Linked DNA regions of Saccharomyces cerevisiae S288C. Changing the gene in region 1 together with any one later gene gives a genetic interaction. Each region holds a gene or a part of one and is shown in the gene's direction. Other genes may lie near its edges.

Region 1 (12,460 bases):
AAAATCAATTATCAAAGTTCAAGATGGCTTTTACCAGTGCTTCTATGAGGATGGAACTGTACAAACTTTAAATTTAGGACCTTTATTACAGAGCAAATCATCAGTGAACCTGCTGAATTATATAATGGTAATAAAAGAGCTTATAGGTTATATGCTTACTCATCTCGAGTTCATTAACCGGGAACTGGCAACACCTTATTTAGATTTCGTCAAAAGATTGTGTGATGAAGCCTACGGATATGGCAAACTCAAATCGGAATTAGAAGCCCTCTTTTTACTTGGAGAGATCTCATGTGACTTGGAAGACTGGCTTTGCAATTCAGTAGGTGAGAAGAACTTTAAAAGGTGGAAGTATTTAGGTTGTGAAGCTTACCAAAAAACTGTTCAGATTTTAACTTTAATATTTGTACCCGCATGTGAAAGAATCATTATTTATGTGGAGAAGTTAAGGGCAATATTACAAGCCTTTTCTATACAGAATAAGCTCAGTTATACGTCAGATTTGACAGCTGTTGAAGTGCTCCTAAAAAGTTCACAGAAATTGTTAACTATGACATTAAATTCAATAATAGGCTTGGGGAGGGACGAAACACTTTTTGAGAAGTTTTTCATATGGTTCAACGACAGACTTCATGAAGCGCTAGATGAAGATTATAAACTGAAATTTCAATTTGAGGATGATCTTTACTTTGGATACGATTTACTAAGTTACTTTGACAGAATCTTATCTAAAAAAGGTACGGAACCTAGCTCAATAATCGACGTGAAACTTTATAGAGACCTAATTAACAGCATGTCTGATATGGAAAAAGATATTGCACAAAGTAATGTTAATTCTCATATTCAACAGCATATTCTGGTTGATTTAAAAACGGATGTTTTTGCGCAAAAATATCCATCTTCGCAAATAAATTTGCTTGATGCCATAAAATTACCAAAGCATAATTACATAGTCTACCTTATTCAGGTAACAAAACACAACAGTGCTCAAGAACCTTTCTCAGAAGAAAACAAAAAGAAACTATATATAGGTACTCTGAAAGATGAGAATTTAGGCATTATATCAAAGGAATCGTCAGTCAAGATTCCGGCGCTATTCAAGAGCTATAGGTTGAGCAGTACAAGGTTTGTGCCGAATAGGGTCCATAGCTTGCTTCGGGATATTGGATTGTCAGATAGTAACTATCATAGTAGCCACGTCACCGATTATAGGGGAGAAAACTATGAAAACGAGGAAGATGATGGCACAATAGCTATTCCTGCTTACATCAGGGAGAATAGGGAAAATGATGATTTCATAGCATGCACCGCGAAGGTATCGGTGGATGGAAGAAGCGCATCCCTAGTGTTTCCAAAAGAAAAACAAAATGTTTGACACATAGACAGATGACGAGTAGCTTTTTTTTAGTATTTGCATAATGATCACCAATAATAGTAGTAATGAAATGTAAGCGTAAATAGCGTATGCATCATCTCCCAAGACTTTTCTTTTGTATGGCGCACTATGAAGAAGTTTGGAACCCGCCTGTGGTGTACTGAGAAAAAAAAAAAATTTCAAGGGCCCGCAATCTCAAAATGGAGTCAATTGTGTCAAGTCTTTTTTTTTTTTTTCATCGTTATCTCACTTTTTATTGCTTATCTTAAGATAATTTAGCTGATATACTATATAGAATAGCCGAAGTGTCAGTTTACTCAGATTTTTGCTACTTTTGATTACTTTTTTTTTACATTTTCAAGGTAATTGACGTCGGTTAAGTAGAGATGGGGAAGAAGGATAGACAGCGCAAGAAACTGCGTGAGTTTGCTAAATTGAAAAACAGGCAGCGAAACTTGAGAAAGAGCGTGCAAACATTGAAGAATGAGGTTCAACGAGAGGCTAAAGTCCCAAGAACTTCGAATCAAATTGCTTTAGGAAACGACAAAATCGAAGAGATTAACGAAAATAGTCCATTATTATCAGCTCCTAGTAAACAAGAGGAGGTATCAATTCCGAAAGCGGTTGATATTGATACCATTGATGCACAGCCTCTTCACGAAGGCCCAAAAATTGATGACTCGCCCCAAGATGAGGTCAATAGCATTAAAGGAAAACCTGCGGACAAGGCTAATGAAGACGATCTTAAGCCGCCTTCACAACATGAAGCATGTGGAAATTCAGCTTTGCAAAGCTCTATTACAGATTTTAGTGATAGATCAGTATCACCATTGCAAAGTATTACCAGCTGCAATACTCCGATGAGTGAGCACGAGCTACCAGTATCTTCCTCAAATTCGTTTGAAAGAGCTGATGATATGCCTGTAGTGCAGGCAGATAACCAGACGTCAAGTAGTAAATCTTTGCACATTGTTGCACCATCTCCTGAAGTACCAGTCAGCGGAGATGAAATCACTTCATATGGATATGGCTCTATACCCCAGAGCATCGGGGATGTAGAGAACGGATTGAATCCTCCTTATGTCGAAAATACATCATCTGATGAACTTGTACATGATCTGACGAGAAGACGGATATTTTCATCCTGTATGTGTACTTATTTATTCTTTATTGCAATGGACAGTTCTATAATCCTAGTAATTGCGTCCAAAATTGCTTCGGAGTTTCATGAGTTATGGAGATTATCCTTAGTCATCTCAGCATACCTATTGAGTAATGCTATTGGGCAACTGGTATTTTTGAAGCTATCTTTAATATCCAGTGTAAAATTGTTGTTGTGTATTGCTCAATTCAGTTTTATCCTTGGTGGCTATTTATCTTGGAGTTCTGCCCATTTTTGGACGTTTATCTTTGCCCGTTGTGTCACAGGATTTGGGGGCGGTTCCTTAATAGCGCTCAAAAGTACTATTATGAATCGGTTTTCTCAAAAGAACGACAGTCGGTACTCATTGAGTGCCTCTATGATAACATTTGCTATGGGTGTGGTAATTGGGCCCTTTATGATGAACTTGTTTGATTCTTCTCATGGTAGCGGGTGGAGAAATGCCTTCTTAATACCAGTTCCTTTTTGCCTTGTGAATGCCTCGATTATGCTGGCAGATATGTATTCTGTTAAGAGCACTTTATATGGACGCCCAACGCCTACATTATGGAAAAGATTCAAGAATACTCTATTAAGTCCTGATTTATACGAAATATTGACACTTACGCTATTCCTACTTTGTTTCGTTCAAGTGACCTCATTGGATTTAACAGGGTTAAAGAATAATACGATGATTCAAGCGCTACTATTTTCTGTAATTATCGTTTGTGGCATTTTATTTTTCTTGATAGAGACAAGCGATACTTACATGAACTCTGTAATTTCAATGTCCTTACAAGGTGACAAGCGTTTAATATGGACAATGATAGGAATTTCATTTTGCTTTGCAGCATTAATGTGCATCATCCCATTCGGTACAACGTACTTCATCATTGTTTTAAATTTAAGCACTTTACAACTTGCAGAGAGATTGTCCCCATTCTTTTTCTCCATTGTACTGGGTTACTTTAGTGTTTCTTATTTTTGGAAGTCGAAAGGACAGAATTTTTTGCTAAAATTTGTTTTAAGCGGAGCCACCCTGTTACTATATGTGGCACTTATGGGGGTAAGTTTGAATTTACCAGTATGGAAGCAATATATATGTTTGTCTCTGCCATTTTTGGGCTCCTCTATGATATTGACCTTGCTGTCAAATCTTTATCATGAGTACCATGAACAAAGAAAGTCACCTATCAGTGGTTCTATCGTATATTGTTTCGGTGCCGTGGGGGGGACGGTTGGTATTTCCTTGGGTGGTTATGTCTTCCACAAAACATTAATAAAACTTATGCATGAGAAGGTGATGCCATTTAGCAAGCAAGGTTATCTTAAAAAGGACCTTTTGAAAATTATCAAGCACGCTACGGAATCTTCAGATTGGGTACACGAATCAGCCCCAAAGTTTGTTTTTCAAACTTTGATTGAGTGTTATTTACAAGCATGTCGAAACGTATTCAAACTCTCTACCCTTTTTTTTACGATTACTGTCGTAGCAATATTCATTTTCAACAGAATCCATTGTCGTAGTCAAAATTGTTTGTCACTATCTTGAACCGGTAGATGAAAATGTATACTTTAAATAATACAAATACTTTTTTTCTTTTTTCTTAAACCCGATAATACTTTTGTCGCTTAGATAAAGATGCAGGGAACTTCAATCATTGTGGTGACCGCACAAAGGCGGGATCTGAAAAATGATCGTATGGGGCGGGGGAAGAATAGAAGAGTGAACAAGGGGATATGGTATCCGTGCAAGAAATGAATGGCCAGAATAGCTTGATTTTTACTTGCTGAAAATGCAGCAAGCGGAAACCCCTCTATCAGTAGGCAACCAAAGAAAACATGGTTTTGTTTATGATAGTGTTTTCTCCGACTAAATGACACTTAATATATAAGCCAGTCATTTTTCTTTCATACTTTCCTCTTGCATGACGAAACAATTCTTTTTTTATTTCGTTTCCTTGTCTGTACTTTTTAGACACTTGACCATATCACAGATATTTACAGACTCTTTTAATTCTAAATAGGTAAAATGTTCTTCAGCCAAGTTTTGAGATCTTCCGCTCGTGCTGCCCCAATCAAGAGGTATACAGGCGGTAGAATAGGTGAATCGTGGGTAATTACGGAAGGTAGAAGGCTCATTCCAGAAATCTTTCAATGGAGTGCAGTATTGAGCGTTTGTTTAGGTTGGCCTGGTGCTGTATACTTCTTTAGTAAGGCAAGAAAAGCATGAGTTTGATAAGAAAAAAAAATTTGCTAAAAATGAGTGTAACACTACCAACATGGCGAGTTTAGTTTGATACTAGGCGCTATACATTATTATTTATATGCCCAGAGGTTACAACAGTGGCTACAATGCAAAAAATATACTGGCTTATATTTTTCATTTGAGATCTGGTTCCTCAAATATATATATATATTTATTTATTTTTTACACATACATACTGCCCTCCTGATTACTTTAAACATCTATATTACAAAAGAGAAGCATTCTTTTCCGTCCATTATACCGTTCTCGGGCGGATCCTTAGTTTCTTACGTTTTAGCTCTAACACTAATCAAAATTCTTATGAAGTGTTGGGACGGGCTTTTGGGCCCCAATTCTTTGTTGGATTTTCCTGATATCTCACAATTTTTAGCTTCCTTAGTTTTTCAATATTACCGCTTTGTTCATTTGGTGCGAACGACAGCTTTGAGTCATACTCTGATTTGACAGTGCCACTCAACCATCCTGGCATTGCCGATAAAATCTTATAGCCCGTAGTATTTGGATTCATTTTGCTTAAGTCTTTCTTCTCATCATCACATTTCTGCATCACATACCAGATTGCATCCCATGGAGCGTTAGTCTTTAGGGACGATGGTTGGGCATGTGTCAATGAACATTCAAAGCCTAGGGAACCTAGGCCTGCGACTACTTTTTTCAAGGGAGGTACTTGTAATTTTATTACCGATGCAATATGGTTAGGACTGAAATAGAATGGCGAATCGGATAATTCATTCTTAGCTAGAGATAGCATACCTTCAATTCTTTTACGTGTTCCATATGTATCATCCTGGTCACGATGCTCTTCTTTATTAATTCTCAACACCTCCTCGATGAACTCCTTGTTGTGTAGAGGTCCTGCATACATTGGACCAGCTAAATGGTATGTCCCCTCGCAGAACTTACATTTAGTATCAACCGGAGGCCCTTGCGCAACCGAGTATTTGGTGAATGTTTTGTTGTTCCTACCTTCGCGTTGAGAAATTCTGCCCAGAGGTTGATTGTGGTAAGAGCCGCAACGGGAACAATGGTAAGTAGTCATAGTACTTGACATAACGTTTTTGACTTCAATCGGGCTTGTTTTGACTTTGACAAAAACTCTGACGTAAAAGTCAATGCTCAACGACAAAAGCGGTTCCACAGTTTTCTTGTATTTCGCGGCAGTTTGCTTTAGTAAGTTCAATACTAGTCTCAGCGCACTTTCGTGAGTTGATTCATGAGAAACCATATTTGCACCACCATATAAGGCAAAACACTTTTCTGGGTATCCGTTACCGGCCAAAACGGATAAATCAGTGCAAGTTACCAGCATTAGACCACCCTCCTCAATACTCTGAATAGCCGCATCTACAAAAGGTGTAACGGTACCGTAAGGATCCAAGTCGATGACGTGAAACTTATTATTCGTCGCTTTGTTACGGTACATTAAGACATTAGCATCATCAAGGTTTGGCTTGACAATGTTTTCGACACTATTATATTCAACGTTTCGTTTTATAGATTCGACAGCCTCTGGAAGTAAATCGTTAGCAATAACTTCCCTCACATGGGGAATTTCATGAGCATACCTAATGGCTCTTAACCCAGTGGCTGACAATGCTTCCAAAATATTTATATAAGGTTCGTTTCGATTAGAATTACCAACGGCTTCTTTTGGTGACCCGTTTCCCATTTTTTGACGCTTGGAAGAATCATCGTTAGTTTCCGCGCACCTTTTCTTCTTACTTTTTTTATTATTTCTCTTTTGGCCACATTCCTCACCATATAGGTTGTCCCACGCCTTGATGCATGTAACACTTAGATCTCTATTAAATTGTTGGATGGGATTATAGAAAACAGTTTCCTTTTTAGGGAAAAGAATTTCTGCTTTTCCTTCCTTGACTATATTGAAATCCTCAATATTGATTCTTGGTGCACCATACGCGGTAAAATTCGCTTTAATTTTGGATATAGCAGCCTTCAACATTCCGTGTAAATTTGCCCGCTTGAGGGGTATCCTGAAGAAACCTTCCATATCTACATTGTAAGAGGAAAGGTATCAACTTATGACTGCTCAGGATCTGTAACTTTGCGATGAGCATTGAATGCGATGAAAAAAAAATAATGCTTTATCCCTTTGGACGAATAAAGAAAGGCTCAAATTGGAATAACGTTAAAAACCAGATTCGATCATCAGAGCTTAAAATTGTTATTCATAGCGGCACAATAGCAGAAGCCACAGAATATTACCTAGAGGTTTTAGGTGAAAGGAAGGATTTTTTTAATTATTTAATACTTTGAAATAGAAGTCAAGCCTTTCATTGCTTATTTATATCAGACCATATATTTTTACACACGATGCCACCAAAAGGTTGGAGAAAAGACGCCCAAGGGAATTACCCCACTACTTCGTATATTAAAGAACAAGAGAACATTACGATTCAGGACCTGTTATTTCCTAAAAGCACTATTGTGAATTTGGCACGCGAAGTGCCACAGCAAAGCGGCAAAAAGCTGCTGATAAATAAAGACGCATCACTAGCGTTACAGCGTGGTGCTACAGTATTTGTTAACCACTTGCTCCTGTTTGCAAGGGAAATTGCAAAGAGTCAAGATAAAAAAAGCTGCAGTGTAGATGATGTTCTGAGTGCTTTGGACCATATAGGACACTCGGCATTGAAGGGTCCGGTTAGAGATAAACTAGATGAATACCAAGCTGCTGTTGAACAGAGGAAGAAGGAAAAACTAGATAGTGGTGAAGTAGATGCTGATGGCGATATAGATATGGGTGAAGATAAGGAGAATGTGCCCGTGGAAAAGGTTAAAGAGCATGACGAAATAGAAGAACAAGGCGATGCATTACAGGACGTAGAAGAGTCCTCCGAAAAGAAACAGAAAACGGAGAGCCAAGATGTAGAAACTAGAGTTCAAAACCTTGAGCAAACGTAACCCCGCTATGGAAACTGTCTAGTAGTGCTTGCCACCACTCCCACAGGATCGTAGTATGTAACTTGCCTTTATTACCTACATACATAATAAGCTATACTCATCGTCGTTATTTGCAAGCCGGGGAACCCAACGCGGCGCCAATGCGGAAGGAAAGAAAGGGGACAAGAAGTTGATATTGGTGGAACGTTAACAAGAAATTATGGCGTTGAGGAAGTGTATTAGCGAGATACGATATCAAGCAGGTTTAGTTAGAGCCACTTTGTGATTTGAAATTTTTTGAGATTTACTTCGTTATTATAAGGACATACGGTAACCTAGGCTAGTTAACATAATTAGTTGTCACCCTTCGCCCCCCTACCCTATCGGTCTTTCATTTTCCAACTATTGATTAGTAAAATTCAAACATCTTTGCTCCGATTAGAGCAACTGAATATACTAGGGATTTTGGGCTATTACGCATTTTTTTTTTCAACTTCTTTTAAACAGGTACAGTTTATTACGATTACTTTTTGCTCACGTAGAATATGGATGATTATCACGTAAATACTGCCTTCTCAATGGGCAGAGGTAACCAGCAGGATGATGGCAATAGTGAAAGCAACAGCATGCATACACAACCAAGCACTATGGCGCCCGCTACGCTGAGAATGATGGGAAAAAGTCCACAGCAGCAGCAGCAGCAGAACACACCGCTAATGCCCCCGGCGGATATCAAATACGCCAATAATGGTAACTCACATCAAGCAGAGCAAAAGGAGAGACAAGTAGAACTTGAAGGTAAATCGAGAGAGAATGCACCAAAGCCAAATACTACCAGCCAGAGTCGAGTTTCGTCTTCTCAGGGCATGCCTAAGCAGTTTCATCGAAAATCGTTAGGAGATTGGGAGTTTGTTGAAACAGTTGGTGCAGGTTCTATGGGTAAAGTGAAGCTGGCAAAACATCGTTACACTAATGAGGTTTGTGCAGTAAAAATTGTAAACCGTGCTACAAAGGCTTTCCTACATAAAGAACAAATGCTGCCACCACCCAAAAATGAACAAGATGTTTTGGAGAGACAGAAGAAATTAGAGAAGGAAATATCTAGGGACAAAAGAACTATTCGAGAAGCGTCCTTGGGACAAATCTTATATCATCCACACATATGTAGACTTTTTGAGATGTGCACGTTGTCAAATCATTTCTATATGTTGTTTGAATATGTTTCAGGTGGTCAGCTGTTAGACTATATCATCCAACATGGGTCAATACGAGAACACCAAGCGAGAAAGTTTGCTAGGGGTATCGCGAGCGCCTTAATATATTTGCATGCTAACAACATCGTCCATAGAGATTTGAAGATAGAAAATATAATGATTTCAGATTCCAGTGAAATCAAGATAATTGATTTTGGACTTTCAAATATTTATGATTCTAGGAAGCAGCTTCATACATTCTGTGGCTCTCTGTATTTTGCCGCTCCCGAGCTGTTAAAAGCGAATCCTTATACAGGACCTGAAGTAGATGTCTGGTCATTTGGTGTAGTTTTATTTGTTTTGGTATGCGGTAAAGTGCCATTTGACGACGAAAATTCGAGCGTTTTACATGAAAAGATCAAGCAAGGTAAGGTTGAATATCCCCAACATTTATCTATCGAAGTAATATCACTGTTATCCAAAATGTTGGTAGTAGATCCGAAAAGAAGAGCCACACTTAAACAGGTTGTGGAGCACCACTGGATGGTAAGAGGGTTCAATGGTCCCCCTCCTTCTTACTTACCGAAAAGAGTTCCCCTAACTATCGAAATGCTTGATATAAATGTCTTAAAAGAAATGTACCGTTTAGAATTTATTGACGATGTAGAGGAAACAAGAAGTGTTTTGGTCAGTATAATCACAGATCCTACTTACGTTCTTCTCTCTAGACAATACTGGACTTTAGCGGCCAAAATGAACGCAGAATCCAGTGATAACGGAAACGCGCCAAACATAACAGAGAGTTTTGAAGACCCAACTCGGGCATATCATCCAATGATTTCCATATATTACTTGACTTCTGAGATGCTTGATAGGAAACATGCGAAAATTCGGAATCAACAACAGCGACAGAGCCACGAAAATATAGAAAAGCTTTCTGAAATACCGGAAAGTGTGAAGCAAAGGGACGTAGAGGTCAATACAACCGCTATGAAATCAGAGCCAGAAGCCACGTTGGCGACAAAAGATACCTCTGTGCCATTCACTCCAAAGAATAGCGATGGCACAGAGCCCCCCTTACATGTCTTAATTCCACCGAGGTTAGCAATGCCAGAACAAGCGCATACGTCACCAACGAGTAGAAAAAGTTCTGATAATCAACGCCGTGAAATGGAATATGCTCTCTCTCCAACTCCTCAGGGAAATGACTATCAACAATTTAGGGTACCTTCAACTACTGGCGATCCCTCAGAAAAGGCGAAGTTTGGGAATATATTTAGAAAATTATCACAGCGCCGTAAAAAGACCATTGAACAGACATCTGTTAATAGTAATAATAGTATCAATAAACCTGTGCAAAAGACGCATTCTCGCGCTGTTTCAGACTTTGTCCCTGGTTTTGCTAAACCGAGTTATGATTCAAATTATACCATGAATGAGCCTGTCAAGACAAACGATAGCAGAGGTGGCAATAAAGGTGACTTTCCAGCATTGCCTGCGGATGCAGAAAATATGGTAGAGAAGCAAAGGGAGAAGCAAATTGAAGAAGATATAATGAAATTGCATGATATTAATAAACAGAATAATGAAGTTGCAAAAGGAAGCGGGCGGGAAGCTTACGCTGCACAGAAGTTTGAAGGAAGCGACGACGACGAGAATCATCCCTTACCACCTCTCAATGTTGCAAAAGGTCGAAAACTACATCCAAGCGCAAGAGCTAAATCAGTTGGTCATGCTCGTCGTGAATCACTCAAATATATGAGACCCCCAATGCCTTCATCTGCCTATCCTCAGCAAGAGCTTATAGATACTGGGTTCTTAGAATCAAGTGACGATAACAAATCCGATAGTTTGGGAAATGTTACTTCACAGACGAATGATAGCGTCAGCGTGCATTCTGTGAACGCACACATAAACTCGCCATCTGTGGAGAAGGAATTAACAGATGAAGAGATATTGCAGGAAGCTTCTAGAGCTCCAGCCGGTTCTATGCCATCCATCGATTTCCCCCGTTCTTTATTTTTGAAGGGTTTCTTTTCTGTTCAGACAACTTCATCGAAGCCTTTGCCAATTGTTAGATACAAGATTATGTTTGTTCTGAGGAAAATGAATATAGAGTTCAAGGAGGTTAAGGGTGGTTTTGTTTGTATGCAAAGGTTCTCTTCCAATAATGTGGCAGCGAAGAGAGAAGGGACTCCAAGATCGATCATGCCACTTTCGCACCACGAATCCATTAGACGTCAAGGCTCTAATAAATACTCACCTTCTTCTCCTTTGACAACTAATTCCATTCACCAGAGAAAAACATCTATTACCGAAACCTATGGAGATGATAAGCATTCGGGAACATCTTTGGAGAACATCCACCAACAAGGTGACGGTAGCGAAGGCATGACTACAACAGAAAAAGAGCCCATCAAATTCGAAATTCATATCGTCAAGGTTCGTATTGTTGGTTTAGCCGGTGTGCATTTTAAGAAAATTTCTGGGAACACTTGGTTGTATAAAGAGCTGGCTTCTAGTATATTAAAAGAACTAAAGTTGTAAGTAACACGTTCCCTGAGAAACCACAGCTTACATTTTTGATATTCGAAAACAAGAATATCCGTTCGATAGAAATTTATATATATATATAGATTCTTTTTATTCTCTTTTGGAAAGAAGAAATAGAATGGACCTAAGCAGACACTCAGCAGTTAATATTTTCGTCCCTTAATTGGTATTATTTATAAATAAATGGCACGTACTTTATGTGTAAAGCAGTTCATCATCGATTGATGGAGAGAATTTGTATACGTAGAGCGATCATTGCACCGTTTACCAGGACAGGATTCATATGGATGTAATAGGACTATTACTTCACTGAATCAATACAACTCGTAACGGTCATATAACTGCGAGTTTGTACGCAGTTATTCTGTTTGTGAAGACAGATTATACTTCGCCGTTGAAAGATTTCTTTACTTCACCATCATTGCCTCCGGATTCTCTTAACTTCTAAATAAAATGAAGATACTGGTAATTCTTGTCCGCAAAAATCTACGCTACACTCTGGAAAGAAACGAGATTTTCTACCGTCTGGTTTATAATGAATATATTTACATGACCAGCTTTGCAATCATATGATATTTTCGCCCATGTATACGAAATTAACTAAAAATACATCCAACGGGAGGCCATTTTCATCACTAATAGCTTGTATGAGCTCAGGAATCATCCAGTATGTGCTGTAGTGCTTCATTTGCGCTTCTAATGGACTTGATATCGTTCATTACACAAGTTAAAAGAATATGCTTGGGAATTCTTTTCCCGTTTTCCTTCGGTGGGGTCCTTACTGATTTAATGAGCCTTTCAAAGGCTTCTTTGGTGTTTATTCTTCGTATCTTCTCCATTTGAACGTGTTTCCATTTCCGTACCTTCACAGGGTCGTCCTCGATATTGGCTGGAATATCAGAGTCTGGGATTCGTATCTCAGGTACTGAAAACGGTGGCGGGTTGTAGTGGTCATTGCCGATAGGCTGATGAGGTCCTTCCCTCGTGGTGAACTCAGTTGGCACATCTGCTGTGTTTGTGGGTAA
Region 2 (11,928 bases), on another chromosome or scaffold:
GTATGAACAGGCCAAAAATTATGAGATTGTTCACTATTTAGGGCTGTGAAGTTTATATATGGGAACAACTTGGTTTCTATGCTATGAAGAAGGGAAATATCCTGATCAGCACGGATTTCTTTTGAGCATTTTTGATACAAATCCAAATTGGATAGCGATCGGGACACAGTTTTCACATCCTTGCGACTCCTGGTCACGTAAGATATAAAAGATTTCCATCTATTCGGTTCATAGAATTTACTTGTCAATTCCGGCTTTTCATATTCCTCTATTTGACGCAGTCTAGAAAAGCAGTGCACGTTGCCAGAGCGATCATCTTCTCTGCGTGTTTCGAAATGGTCGGAGAATGGATACTGTCGGTAGACCCTAAAAAGAACAATGAGAGACAACAATGATGTGAAGATCAATGGTGCCAGTTTCTTAATTCTTCGTATGCGCAATACCATTTTTTGCAGAGTACGTTTTTAAAGATGGCACTTTTACCTTAACACAAGGGACTCAATTTCATGTTAACAAATTTCATCTTTTCCAAGTGTTACATAGCACTACCGATCCTTTCCTAGGTAACGAAACCATGATAAACTAGTGCTGCTGCTTTAAACAAAGAGGCGCAATGTTTACCTTCAGAAGAGAGGTCATACAATTACTTGGAGGGTAACATTACTAATTTTGCAGAGATTGCAACATAGGTGATCTTATATGTTGAAATAAAAACTACTGCTGATATTGCTTGCTTTGATAATAACAATATTCGAGGGAAAATACTGCCCATGCTACTTCAGTGTGATGGCAAAGCGTTTTCTCATCTAGGAGAGCAACGGTTTGATCCCCGTGAAAAGCCTGGGCCCAGTACATCTTGTAAGATCTTACACAATATTAAGTTATATAGACATCGTTTACTACATTCAAGGTCTTGTGAATAGTTACTGCGGATAGGTTAATAGAGGAAGATATAGTGCAAAATTTCAAGTAGCGGAAGATAATCAAATGCTGAAGGAAATTTACAGGTTTGCCTCAATAATAATCTTGACTCTGCCGGAAAAATTTACCAGAGGGTTCAAAGGTATGAGTTGTACGACCCGGTTCAACAGTAGTTGCTTGAAGAGTAAGCTGAGCCTATAATATCCCATCTTTTCCGTTCTTCTCATAATAAATAAAAGATAGGATCGTGAGATGTGTCAGCTGCTGAGGAGTGTAACTAGCGCTAATGGGAGAACATAGAAGAGAGTACCGTGATGGCACAGAAGGCGGGTAGGCGACCACGGACCATTTCGGTCCAGATTTCTCAACTCGTACTTCCTGTGATACGTTCTTGCCCTGAACTAGTCAATTTTCTCTTGTGCAGCAGGCTTCGACATAGTTTTATGATAAGAAAAGTAAGATATAAAGGTCCGCTAGAATAAATAACCATAAATTTTTTATTTTGAGTTATATCAATATAAATAATAGCGTAAAAGAATGCATTTTACGCAAGAAATAAGAATTCCTTGGCAAATGACTTGATGAGATCGTATATCATTGGTTTATGTGGGATTTCCACTCATGTAATACTTCAATCAAGACTTGATTAACCTTCGTCAATTCCTCTGTCGTGATCACATATGGTGGCATAATGTAACACAGGCAGTTGAAAGGTCGGATATGTACTCCCTTGGATATAAACTTTTTCTGGAACCACTCGGGATCTGTCTTCTTGTATAGCTCTACGATACCTACAGCTCCAATAACTGACACACGCTTAACAACAGTTCCAATGAGCCCATTATCTGGGTTCTTGATGTACTGGTATAGTTCTCTATAAATTTGGTTTTCAATTGCAGACACTTGTTTTCTCCACTCGCCACGCAGTAGTATATCCATAGACTTTTCTGCCACACTGCATGCCAGGGCATTGCCCATGAAGGTGGGGCCATGCATGAAGCAGCCACCAGTAGGGCTATTTGGAGAAGAGATTCTGGAAGCAACTTTGTCGTTGACTACCACTGCACTCATAGTCATATATCCACTGGTTAAGCCCTTCCCAACGCACAATATGTCAGGAACAACTTTGATCTGATCGGAAGGACTGATGCCATGTTGGTCCTGGTATTTTTGACAGTGCTTGAATGCGAAAATCTCACCTGTTCTACCAAATCCTGTAGCAATCTCGTCCATGATGAATAAAACGTCGTATTGGTTACATAGTTTCTGAACTTCGATTAAGAACTGTGGATGGTATGGTCGCAAACCTCCTGCACCCTGTAAGATAGGCTCCAAAATCACAGCACAGATCTTATCACTATGCAATTCAAATTGCTTCTTGAGATCGGTAACTTCTTCTGCATTCCAATGGTCCTCGAAACCGTTCTGGCTGGTTGGAAGGCCATCGACAATAGAGGGAGCTTGGGCGAAGATGTTCTCACTGAGTCGATCGTTGTAGATATGATGCATAGAATTCTCAGGATCACAAACACTCATAGCGCCAAATGTATCACCATGATACCCGTTCTTGATTGTCAAAAACTTTGTTCTATTTTTAGTAGCTTCCCCTGACATGTTTGATTGTAAAGCCATCTTCAAAGCTACTTCCACTGCTACTGAGCCAGAATCTGCGAGGAAACAGTACTGCAAAGAGGGTTCATCAATCACTTTTAAAAGTTTTTGGACTAGATTCACAGCTCCTTTATGGGTGAATCCACCAAGAAGGACGTGAGAAAACTTTAACATCTGCTTGGTAAGGGCCTCATTTAGTTCTGGATTATTGTACCCGTGAATAACACACCACCACGACGACATGGCGTCGATCACCTCGACGTCCACTGGTGAGTCGGTATCCAACACCAGCTTGCATCCGTGAGCACTCTTTACCGGATAAACGTTCAATGGTGAACTCAATGACGTATAAGGATGCCAAATATGTTTTTTATCAAAGTCTAGCAGTTCCGCGACATCTGGTGTATATGAAATTTCTTGGGACATTAGTTGTTATCCTAGCAATAGAAAACGAATTGCGCTGTTGACATCCTCCCGACCAAAAGAAAATGAAATATACAAACAATGGCTATTTATAATTCAAAATTATTGGGCAAAACAAAATAAAATCCCGCTGGTAGTTCGTTTACTGAAGTATATAAAGAGATATACTTTTTTCCACAAGTAGGCCAGTGAAAAGAACTCAAAAAATCACTAGCGCACAGGTCATGAACAGCAAATCTCAACAACAAGAACAACAACCAATTGTATTCGTCACCGGTACAGACACTGATGTTGGTAAAACCTTTGTATCAACATTATTGGTACACAAATGGAAAGCTGCATACTGGAAACCCGTACAAACTGGAATTGAGTCAGATCAAGGTGACTCCGAGACATTGAAAAATTTCAAAATAGCCGCATCAACTTGGCAACCACCTATATTCACGCCCACTTATGCGCTGCAGAAGCCTCTATCTCCGCTCCAGGCCATGGAGTACGAACCTAATGTCGACATCAGGTTGTTGGATTTCGTAGTTCCTGAAGAGTGGAGCGCAGAGAATCCATTGGTCGTAGAAGGAGCCGGCGGGGTTTGCGTTCCTATCACTCGTAAATTGGAAATTACGACGGATCTAATTAAACATCTGATTGAGACTAGCGGCCATCCAGTGTACGTAGTTGTCGTGGCACGCAGCGGGCTAGGGACTCTGAATCATACATTGCTGACTTGGAATCATCTTTGCGATAATGGCTTGAGAAGCCACCTTTTTGGGGTCATTCTCAATGGGGAACCGAATGAAGGCAACGTGCAGGCCCTGAAGAAGTTCGGTGTCAATATTATGGCACAGGTTGCACAATGTACTACGGCACATGATCAGGATATGGAGTTGCATGAACTGCCATCGGTGGAGTCATTAATGACCCAACAAGACGTAGAATAGTTTAAATAAAAAAGTTGCAAGGCTTTCATCAGCTATATATAAGTAGCATGGTATGAACAGAGTAGGGGCAGTGTTCCTATTTGTATATGAAAGAAATTTTTTTTTGTCTATTGTTCCAGATCGTCACAGGACGGAAATAAGAATGTCTAGTTCAGAAAGGTCAGAAGTCAAGTTTGACAAGCACTTTAATTGGTGGTCCCTATTAGGTATCGCGTTCTCATTAAGTTGCTCATGGGTCGGTATCTCAGCGTCGATGGCCGTTGGTATTGCCAGTGGAGGGCCACTGCTTATCATCTATGGGTTGATAATTGCTGCTTTTTTCAGTCTCATGTGTGGTATATCTCTGGGAGATTTTGCTGCTATCCTGCCAAACAGCAGCGGTGGTTCATTTTGGGTTCTTAAAATGTTGGAACAAGAATCAGTCACTTTGAAAACCCCTGAGTACGAGGACCCTTCTGACGATGATGAAGAAGTGTTCCTCGAGAATTATTGTCAAACTTTCAACGTGGAAGTTTCTTCTAAATTTCAAAAGGTTTCTTCCATGGTTGTAGGGTTGCTGAACTATTTCGGTGCCATTTTTACTACCGCAAGTATCTGCTCATCTTTGTCAATGAGCTGTATCGGTATTCATAAGTTGTTGCATCCGGACTACGAGTTAAAGCACTGGCATGTTTTTGTGGGTTACGAGTGTATCAATGCCGTTTTGACACTTTTCAACATTTATTCAACTCCGTTGCCCTATATCTCTCAGTTTGGGCTCTATACGTCTCTATTGTCTTTCGCCATGACTTTCATTATTTGTATTGTTTCAAGATCTGACAACACCGTAGACCCATGGCCCAAAGCTTCTAATATATTTGGGAGCTTTGATAATCAAACAGGCTGGAATTCGTCTGGAATGGCGTTTGTTGTCGGTTTGGTCAATCCGATCTGGGCATTTGTTGGCATTGACTCTGCTACGCACATGATTGATGAAGTGGGTTATAGTAAGTCACGTTTCTTAGTTCCCAAAGTTATTATCACTACCATCATTGTGGGCTTTGTAACTAGTTTTATTTATTGCGTTGGTTTGTTTTTCTGCATCACTGACCAAACGGCAGTCGTTGAGTCTATTTTACCTATCGTAGAAATATTTTACCAGGCCACTGGTAATAGGAATCTCAGTGTCTTCCTGCAATGTATGTGTATCACAACAGGTTTTGTTTCAGGCATTGCAAGTGGAACCTGGCAAAGTCGAATCCTCCAATCATTCGGGAAAAGTTACGCACCATTTTATAAAGAGGGTTCCTTGGGAAACAAATCCTTGAAGAAGCTAGCAGTGTTGACACCTGGGTTTAAGTCTCCATTATATGCCCATTTTTTGTCACAAATATGTGTAACGATAATTGGCTGTATATTTATGGGATCTAGTACCGCTTTCAACGCAATTATCACTGCATGCATCACCCTGTTACTAATGTCGTACGCAGTTCCTTCTTTTATATTCCTGTTCGTTATTAAAAAGGAAAAATTCATTCATAGAATCGAGAGTGACGTAAATTGTGTCAGCAGGCCTAACCGTCGTCGTATGTCTATGATTCCTCATATTATATGTATTCTATGGACCTTGTTCTGCCTGGTATTTTTATCTTTCCCATATACACTACCGGTTACTGCAGGAAACATGAATTACACCTCAGTAGTGTATGCAGTAGTTTTCTGCATTATCAGCATCGTTGTTTTCCCTACATGCATCTAAGATGCTGTTGAAAGAAAAACAGTCCTTATAAATTCCTAGGTCGATACTACCTTTTGTAGCTCTATCGTCAGAACTTCTGCCCTCCTGTATCATAGTTTCATAAAATAATTGTATATTTATTACCAGAAGTACCCTTGTATTACAAAACTAATCGCACACCACAAAGAGTAAAAGTAGGTACCATAGCAGCAGCGCTTAACCTATTCTCCGTCAGTATGAATGAAATATGTGGATTTCGATTACGATTCATTATAAGATCAGAACACATAAAGCCATTTTACTGAGCTATCTCAACTGCACAAACCATAACAAGTAAAAACTAGCTAGTGTAATTAGGAGATTATCGAAAGTCCTGGTCAAGCAGCAAGTTGGGCGAAAGTGTATTTTTGGTCCTTAAATAGTCCCGATTATGGGAAAATTACAAGTCATGACAAAATTTATTTTATAGGTGCACAAAATAGTCTGTAGATATTTTAATATCAAAAGAAAAAAGACGTATTCGCATGATAGTATATACCAAAGAAGAACGATTCAGAGAATGAATGTGGACAAGTTTTTTTGAGGAAAATGAAAACTAGAAAATCAAGGATATTGAGTACTTAGTCATTTTTTTCATTTTTTTCTTCGAGAAAATTTCTTTTTCATTACTTACTTATTTTTGCCAAGACATTTTTTTATCTTTTAAAATATATTCAAATAGTTCTTCTCTGAACAGAATTTTTCTCTCTTATGATGTACAATTACTTTCTTAAGTCACATATAATACCACACAATGCAAAAATTTCATGCATCAGCTCTCTAAGCTTTGAGAAATGTGTAGTTTGACGTTTACATCAAGGCCTGGTTGTGTCATATGAAATTCTACGGATATTTTTAGGGAGCTTTCGCCTAGCGAGAACAAAAGCATAACAAAAAAAGTTGCAGTTGATGAAAATTTTCTTTTTAGGATAAAGTTATTTTCCAGACAGAAAATTAAACTAAAGACCTCGCCGTTAACAAACCATAGTAGTTTAGACTATTTCCTAACCTTTCTATAGATTCATTTAATTGTCTATTGTCTTCAATCTAAACGATAAAGATAAATACGCAGTCGAATAAGAAAGAATTATCTGTATCAGTCTCTGAGGTAATATTTACTGAACCTCCTCTGCAAAAATAAAACAAGCCCATTTTGTTGTCGAAAGCGCTAGCATCCTTAATTTTACGATACTATTTCATGCTATTACTACCAAGTTGACATCCCTTATTATCTTATTTATTTGAAACTAGAAGAATAGCAAGTAAACACTAAATCCGAAAGAATCGAAGTATCATATTACAATCTACAGGATATAACAAAACAGCTTCGCAACTTTTGCATTTCTAACGAATATAAAGAAAAGAACTACTATAGAAGAAAGTTTGCGAGTGTGAATCTTAAATTTTTAACAGATGGACAAATATACCAACAGGGATCATCCGGACTATATTCCTGGCACATTTAACATCTATTCTTCCCAAAATTTGGAAAATGGTATTATATACGAATCAAAATTGAAGAAAACCTCCTCAGGAGTCGTCCTAATCCCTCAACCATCATACTCGCCAAATGATCCACTGAACTGGTCTAGCTGGAGGAAATTGGCTCATTTTGGTCTAATGGCCTTTATAACTGCGTTTACCGCCGCTACTAGTAACGACGCTGGTGCTGCTCAAGACTCATTGAATGAGATTTATGGGATATCCTACGATTCCATGAACACAGGGGCTGGTGTTCTTTTCCTAGGTATTGGTTGGTCCACTTTATTCTTGGCTCCATTTGCTAACTTGTATGGCAGGAAGATTACGTACATAGTTTGCACCACATTAGGTCTCTTTGGTGCGCTTTGGTTTGCTTTGGCCAAAAGAACGAGCGACACAATATGGTCTCAGTTGTTTGTAGGTATTAGTGAGTCCTGTGCTGAAGCCCAGGTGCAACTGTCCCTGAGCGACATTTTTTTCCAGCACCAATTGGGCTCCGTATTGACCGTGTATATCATGTGCACTAGTATCGGTACGTTCTTGGGCCCATTGATCGCTGGGTACATATCTGCATTTACCAACTTCCGTTGGGTCGGTTGGGTCGCAGTGATCATATCTGGTGGCCTTTTAATAACTATTATATTTGGCTGCGAAGAAACGTACTTCGACAGAGGCCAGTATATGACCCCTTTGACCAGCTGTCAATCGGGATACGAAGACGGTACCACTTTACAAAACTCTGACAATACGGCCGTGTCGCGCAGGAAACGTCATCTTGACGCTAAATTATCAACTCCTGGAGCCATGGGTGAGAAAGGTGTAGACCTTTCAGAGACGGCTGAATTCGAAGTTAACAATGAAGAGGAAGTTACCATACCTGAGACTCGCGAATTGATTGATGGTTCAAAAGAGCATTTGAAACCATACCCAAAAAGAGTAGCAATATTAACCAAAGCTACTAATTTGAAAGGCTACGGTTTTAAACAGTATTTCAAATATCTAAAGATCAACCTTAGAATGTTCTTATTCCCGCCAGTGTGGTTGTCTGGTATGTTTTGGGGTATTCAAGACGTTTTCCTGACGTTTTATTTGACCACTCAAGAAAGCGCCTACTACGAACCTCCATGGAACTATAGTGATTTTGGTGTCGCAATTATGAATGTTCCCACACTTATTGGAGCAGTCATCGGTTGTATCTGTGCTGGCATTGTTAGTGACTACTTTGTTCTTTGGATGGCTCGTCACAATAGAGGAATTTTAGAGGCAGAATTTAGACTATACTTCTCTATCGCAACTGCAATTATTGGGCCAGCGGGTTTGCTGATGTTTGGTATCGGTACCGCTAGACAATGGCCTTGGCAAGCTATATACGTCGGGTTGGGTTTTGTTGGGTTTGCATGGGGTTGTTCTGGTGATATTGCGATGGCGTATTTAATGGATTGTTACCCCGATATGGTTTTGGAAGGTATGGTTTGTACTGCTATTATTAACAACACGATATCTTGCATTTTCACCTTTACCTGTTCTGATTGGCTAGCTGCATCTGGTACTGAAAATACTTACATTGCTTTAGCTGTCATCAACTTTGGGATTACTGCATTTGCTTTACCAATGTACTACTATGGTAAGAGGATAAGACTTTGGACTAAGAGATGGTATTTGCAATCTGTCAATTTGAGAGACGGTGTGTAATTCAGAGACGTCTTTCTTGTATCTAGTAGATGATAGGAATTAAGTATTTTTTTTTTACCTAACTAGGATTATAATTGCAACAACAAAAGCGCCCTTCGTGAAACACGTGGGATACCGGTTAGGTAATATTACAGTTTCCTTACACACTTACTAAATACGCAACAGAGCATGTTATTAATCGTATATTTAAGTAATAATAACGTATTGACCATTCCTAAGACTGAAGCAGTACCAAGAAATGGCACTTTTTGTTTATATGACATAGTAAAAGTGTTCATTTGGCAGAAAACAAGGGTATCTGGATACTGCAATCCTCATTAGTTGCGGAGAGCTTTTTTAAAGTTTTATTACTTCGATAATGCTTTCCTCCAGAACTGGGCGCGCACTGAAGCCATAAACTGAGTGGTTGTCCCTGTGTATATTCTACAATCGCCTATTTGAAACTTCTGGGTGATAATATCGATTTAGCGATTGGGTTTCTCCCTTCTGAGATTCTGGATAAATGAGATGCTACCCTCACAGTAAAAACAGTACAAAACCTTTGTATAGTTCTAGTCAAATATGAACTCCTTCATTCATGGATTGTATACTATTGTTCTTGTTGAAAGATTCCTCTTGTGATTTTCATGGTGATTTTAAGCCTTTTTTATTGAAAGAATTAAATATTCACTAGGCTGCGATACGATAGACAAACGAAGTGATTGAAACCCGAATTAACGGATATGGCGATTATGTGTGTTTATGATCCCAATATTTGATTGTCGGAAAAAATTAATCATCTATTGGTGTGTACTCATACTACTTGTATCATATACAGTGTAAAATGACGACATAATTGATGGGAAACAGTTATCAAAGTTATTGGATGTTGAATTGCAAGAATTGATGAAGTAATAGGATAAGGAATGACAACGTATAAAATTGAAGGAGAAATAAAAATATATATTATATAGAAGTATCGGGCCCCTTTCGTAGATTCCTATATCCTACAGGATAACTTTTGGTACATTCTGTAGACCTAAGTTCATAGCTTTTATAAACAATTAATCCCAAAAAATGTCTCTTTTGATGATTAGATGTTAAAAGGTGATATTACTGACTACTTGTTCGAAGTGCCTACGCAACACTTTAGCTGCTTTTTTTAAGCAGCGGCAGATGAGGATTTAAATAACGCATAACCAAGAATATACCTAATGAAGTGAAGGTATACAGGCTGTTCTATGGACTTGAATAATACTGGCTACCCTGGCGTCCTAATGTCGTTAAGAAAGTAACTTGATATCAGATTAATCACAAACTTGGTCCACAAAATACCACTTATCTCATATAATCTAAATCTGACTAAAGGGTGTAGGCACGGAACTTCGGACCTAGAGGTATTGCTCAATATGTATATTTCTCAATGGTTCATCTAGGTAAGCAAGGCCTTGAATAATATACTTAATCTTGTCTGTTTCGCAACAATTGCTGAGTACAATAATGTTGGAATAAAAATCAACTATCATCTACTAACTAGTATTTACGTTACTAGTATATTATCATATACGGTGTTAGAAGATGACGCAAATGATGAGAAATAGTCATCTAAATTAGTGGAAGCTGAAACGCAAGGATTGATAATGTAATAGGATCAATGAATATTAACATATAAAATGATGATAATAATATTTATAGAATTGTGTAGAATTGCAGATTCCCTTTTATGGATTCCTAAATCCTCGAGGAGAACTTCTAGTATATCTACATACCTAATATTATAGCCTTAATCACAATGGAATCCCAACAATTATCTCAAAACTCACCCACTCTTCAAATAATGATGTGGTATACTACCTGAAATACGATAAAAAGTGTTGTATTACGGGCTCGAGTAATACCGGAGTGTCTTGACAATCCTAATATAAACAGTCTTAGGGAAGTAACCAGTTGTCAAAACAGTTTATCAGATTAATTCACGGAATGTTACTTATCTTATATATTATATAAAATATGAATCATGCTAAGTGGTGGAAGCGCGGAATCTCGGATCTAAACTAATTGTTCAGGCATTTATACTTTTGGGTAGTTCAGCTAGGGAAGGACGGGTTTTGTCTCATGTTGTTCGTTTTGTTATAAGGTTGTTTCATATGTGTTTTATGAACGTTTAGGATCTCAAAATGTCATACTGACGTATCTCATTTTGAGATACAACAAAAAGTATAAATCTTTGGAGGGTTGGCCGAGTGGTCTAAGGCGGCAGACTTAAGATCTGTTGGACGGTTGTCCGCGCGAGTTCGAACCTCGCATCCTTCAGTATTTTTTTTTATTTTGTCGGGGCCACCAGATCTTTAATGGCAAGACAAAGCGTTTTCAGATACATGAAATACATTGAAGCTATCTTTTTGAAGAAGAATACCTGCGTAGTGTTCTATGATTGTTCAAATAATATTTTAAAATGGTATTTTACTACTGTGTACATTTTATATGCTTAAATAAAAAAGAAAGTAGAGCACCCAATGTACGTGTGGTAAGGAAATAAATGTTCATAATTTTCATTAATGCATCAAACGGGATAAATGTTTTGGAAGAACGCAAATTTTGAAAATAGATTCCATTGGCTCTTGATAGTTGCTTTACGTATATTTTGTTTAGCCTTCTTTCCCTCATATAAGTATGCAGCTCTTCATTTTCCAAACCAGGATGAGATATGGATATATAGTTTCCCACTGAATCTTTGTGTCAATGCTACGCCCATCTTCTGCACGTCAGAACAGAATAACTACCTTGAGAAGAAAAAAAAAATACAAATGGTGGTTACTTGATAATGAATATGCTCTAATTGAAAAGAAATCTCCCTAGATATGATACCGCCCTCGACGACCCGATCTTTGGTATTTGGTAGGACTGTATCATCTTATTCCTCACATCATAGCAATTTTGTTCGTCATAATGTTCCTTTAGTTCTCAGAGTCATATGAATTCTATTTCCATAGAATTTTCCATTTTGAGCAATACGGGGAGTCGCTACCTCGATTCTAAGTTATGCTGCATTGACTTTATTGTGTGATATACATATCGATGTACTAGAAAGGGTTTGGTTTGGCCAAGTTTTTTATTATGAGGGTG

Evidence for each region.
Region 2: mutations in VBA4 (region 1) and HOL1 together harm fitness more than expected from each alone (negative genetic interaction), as found in Saccharomyces cerevisiae (one large-scale study listed by BioGRID).

What each region holds. Positions count from the first base shown.
Region 1 is NC_001136.10:686,466-698,925, forward strand, and holds VBA4 (Vba4p), read left to right. Parts: upstream 1-1,761; coding exon 1,762-4,068; downstream 4,069-12,460. Other genes in the region: APC4 (anaphase promoting complex subunit 4), read left to right, coding at 1-1,375; COX26 (Cox26p), read left to right, coding at 4,549-4,749; TRM1 (tRNA (guanine26-N2)-dimethyltransferase), read right to left, coding at 5,084-6,796; DPB4 (DNA polymerase epsilon noncatalytic subunit), read left to right, coding at 7,120-7,710; serine/threonine protein kinase KIN1, read left to right, coding at 8,235-11,429; INO2 (Ino2p), read right to left, coding at 12,089-12,460. UniProt on the Saccharomyces cerevisiae protein: Transporter required for vacuolar uptake of basic amino acids.
Region 2 is NC_001146.8:725,321-737,248, reverse strand, and holds HOL1 (Hol1p), read left to right. Parts: upstream 1-7,062; coding exon 7,063-8,823; downstream 8,824-11,928. Other genes in the region: MNT4 (putative alpha-1,3-mannosyltransferase), read right to left, coding at 1-446; BIO3 (adenosylmethionine-8-amino-7-oxononanoate transaminase), read right to left, coding at 1,516-2,958; BIO4 (dethiobiotin synthase), read left to right, coding at 3,180-3,893; BIO5 (Bio5p), read left to right, coding at 3,946-5,631. UniProt on the Saccharomyces cerevisiae protein: Seems to be involved in the uptake of several cations and of histidinol.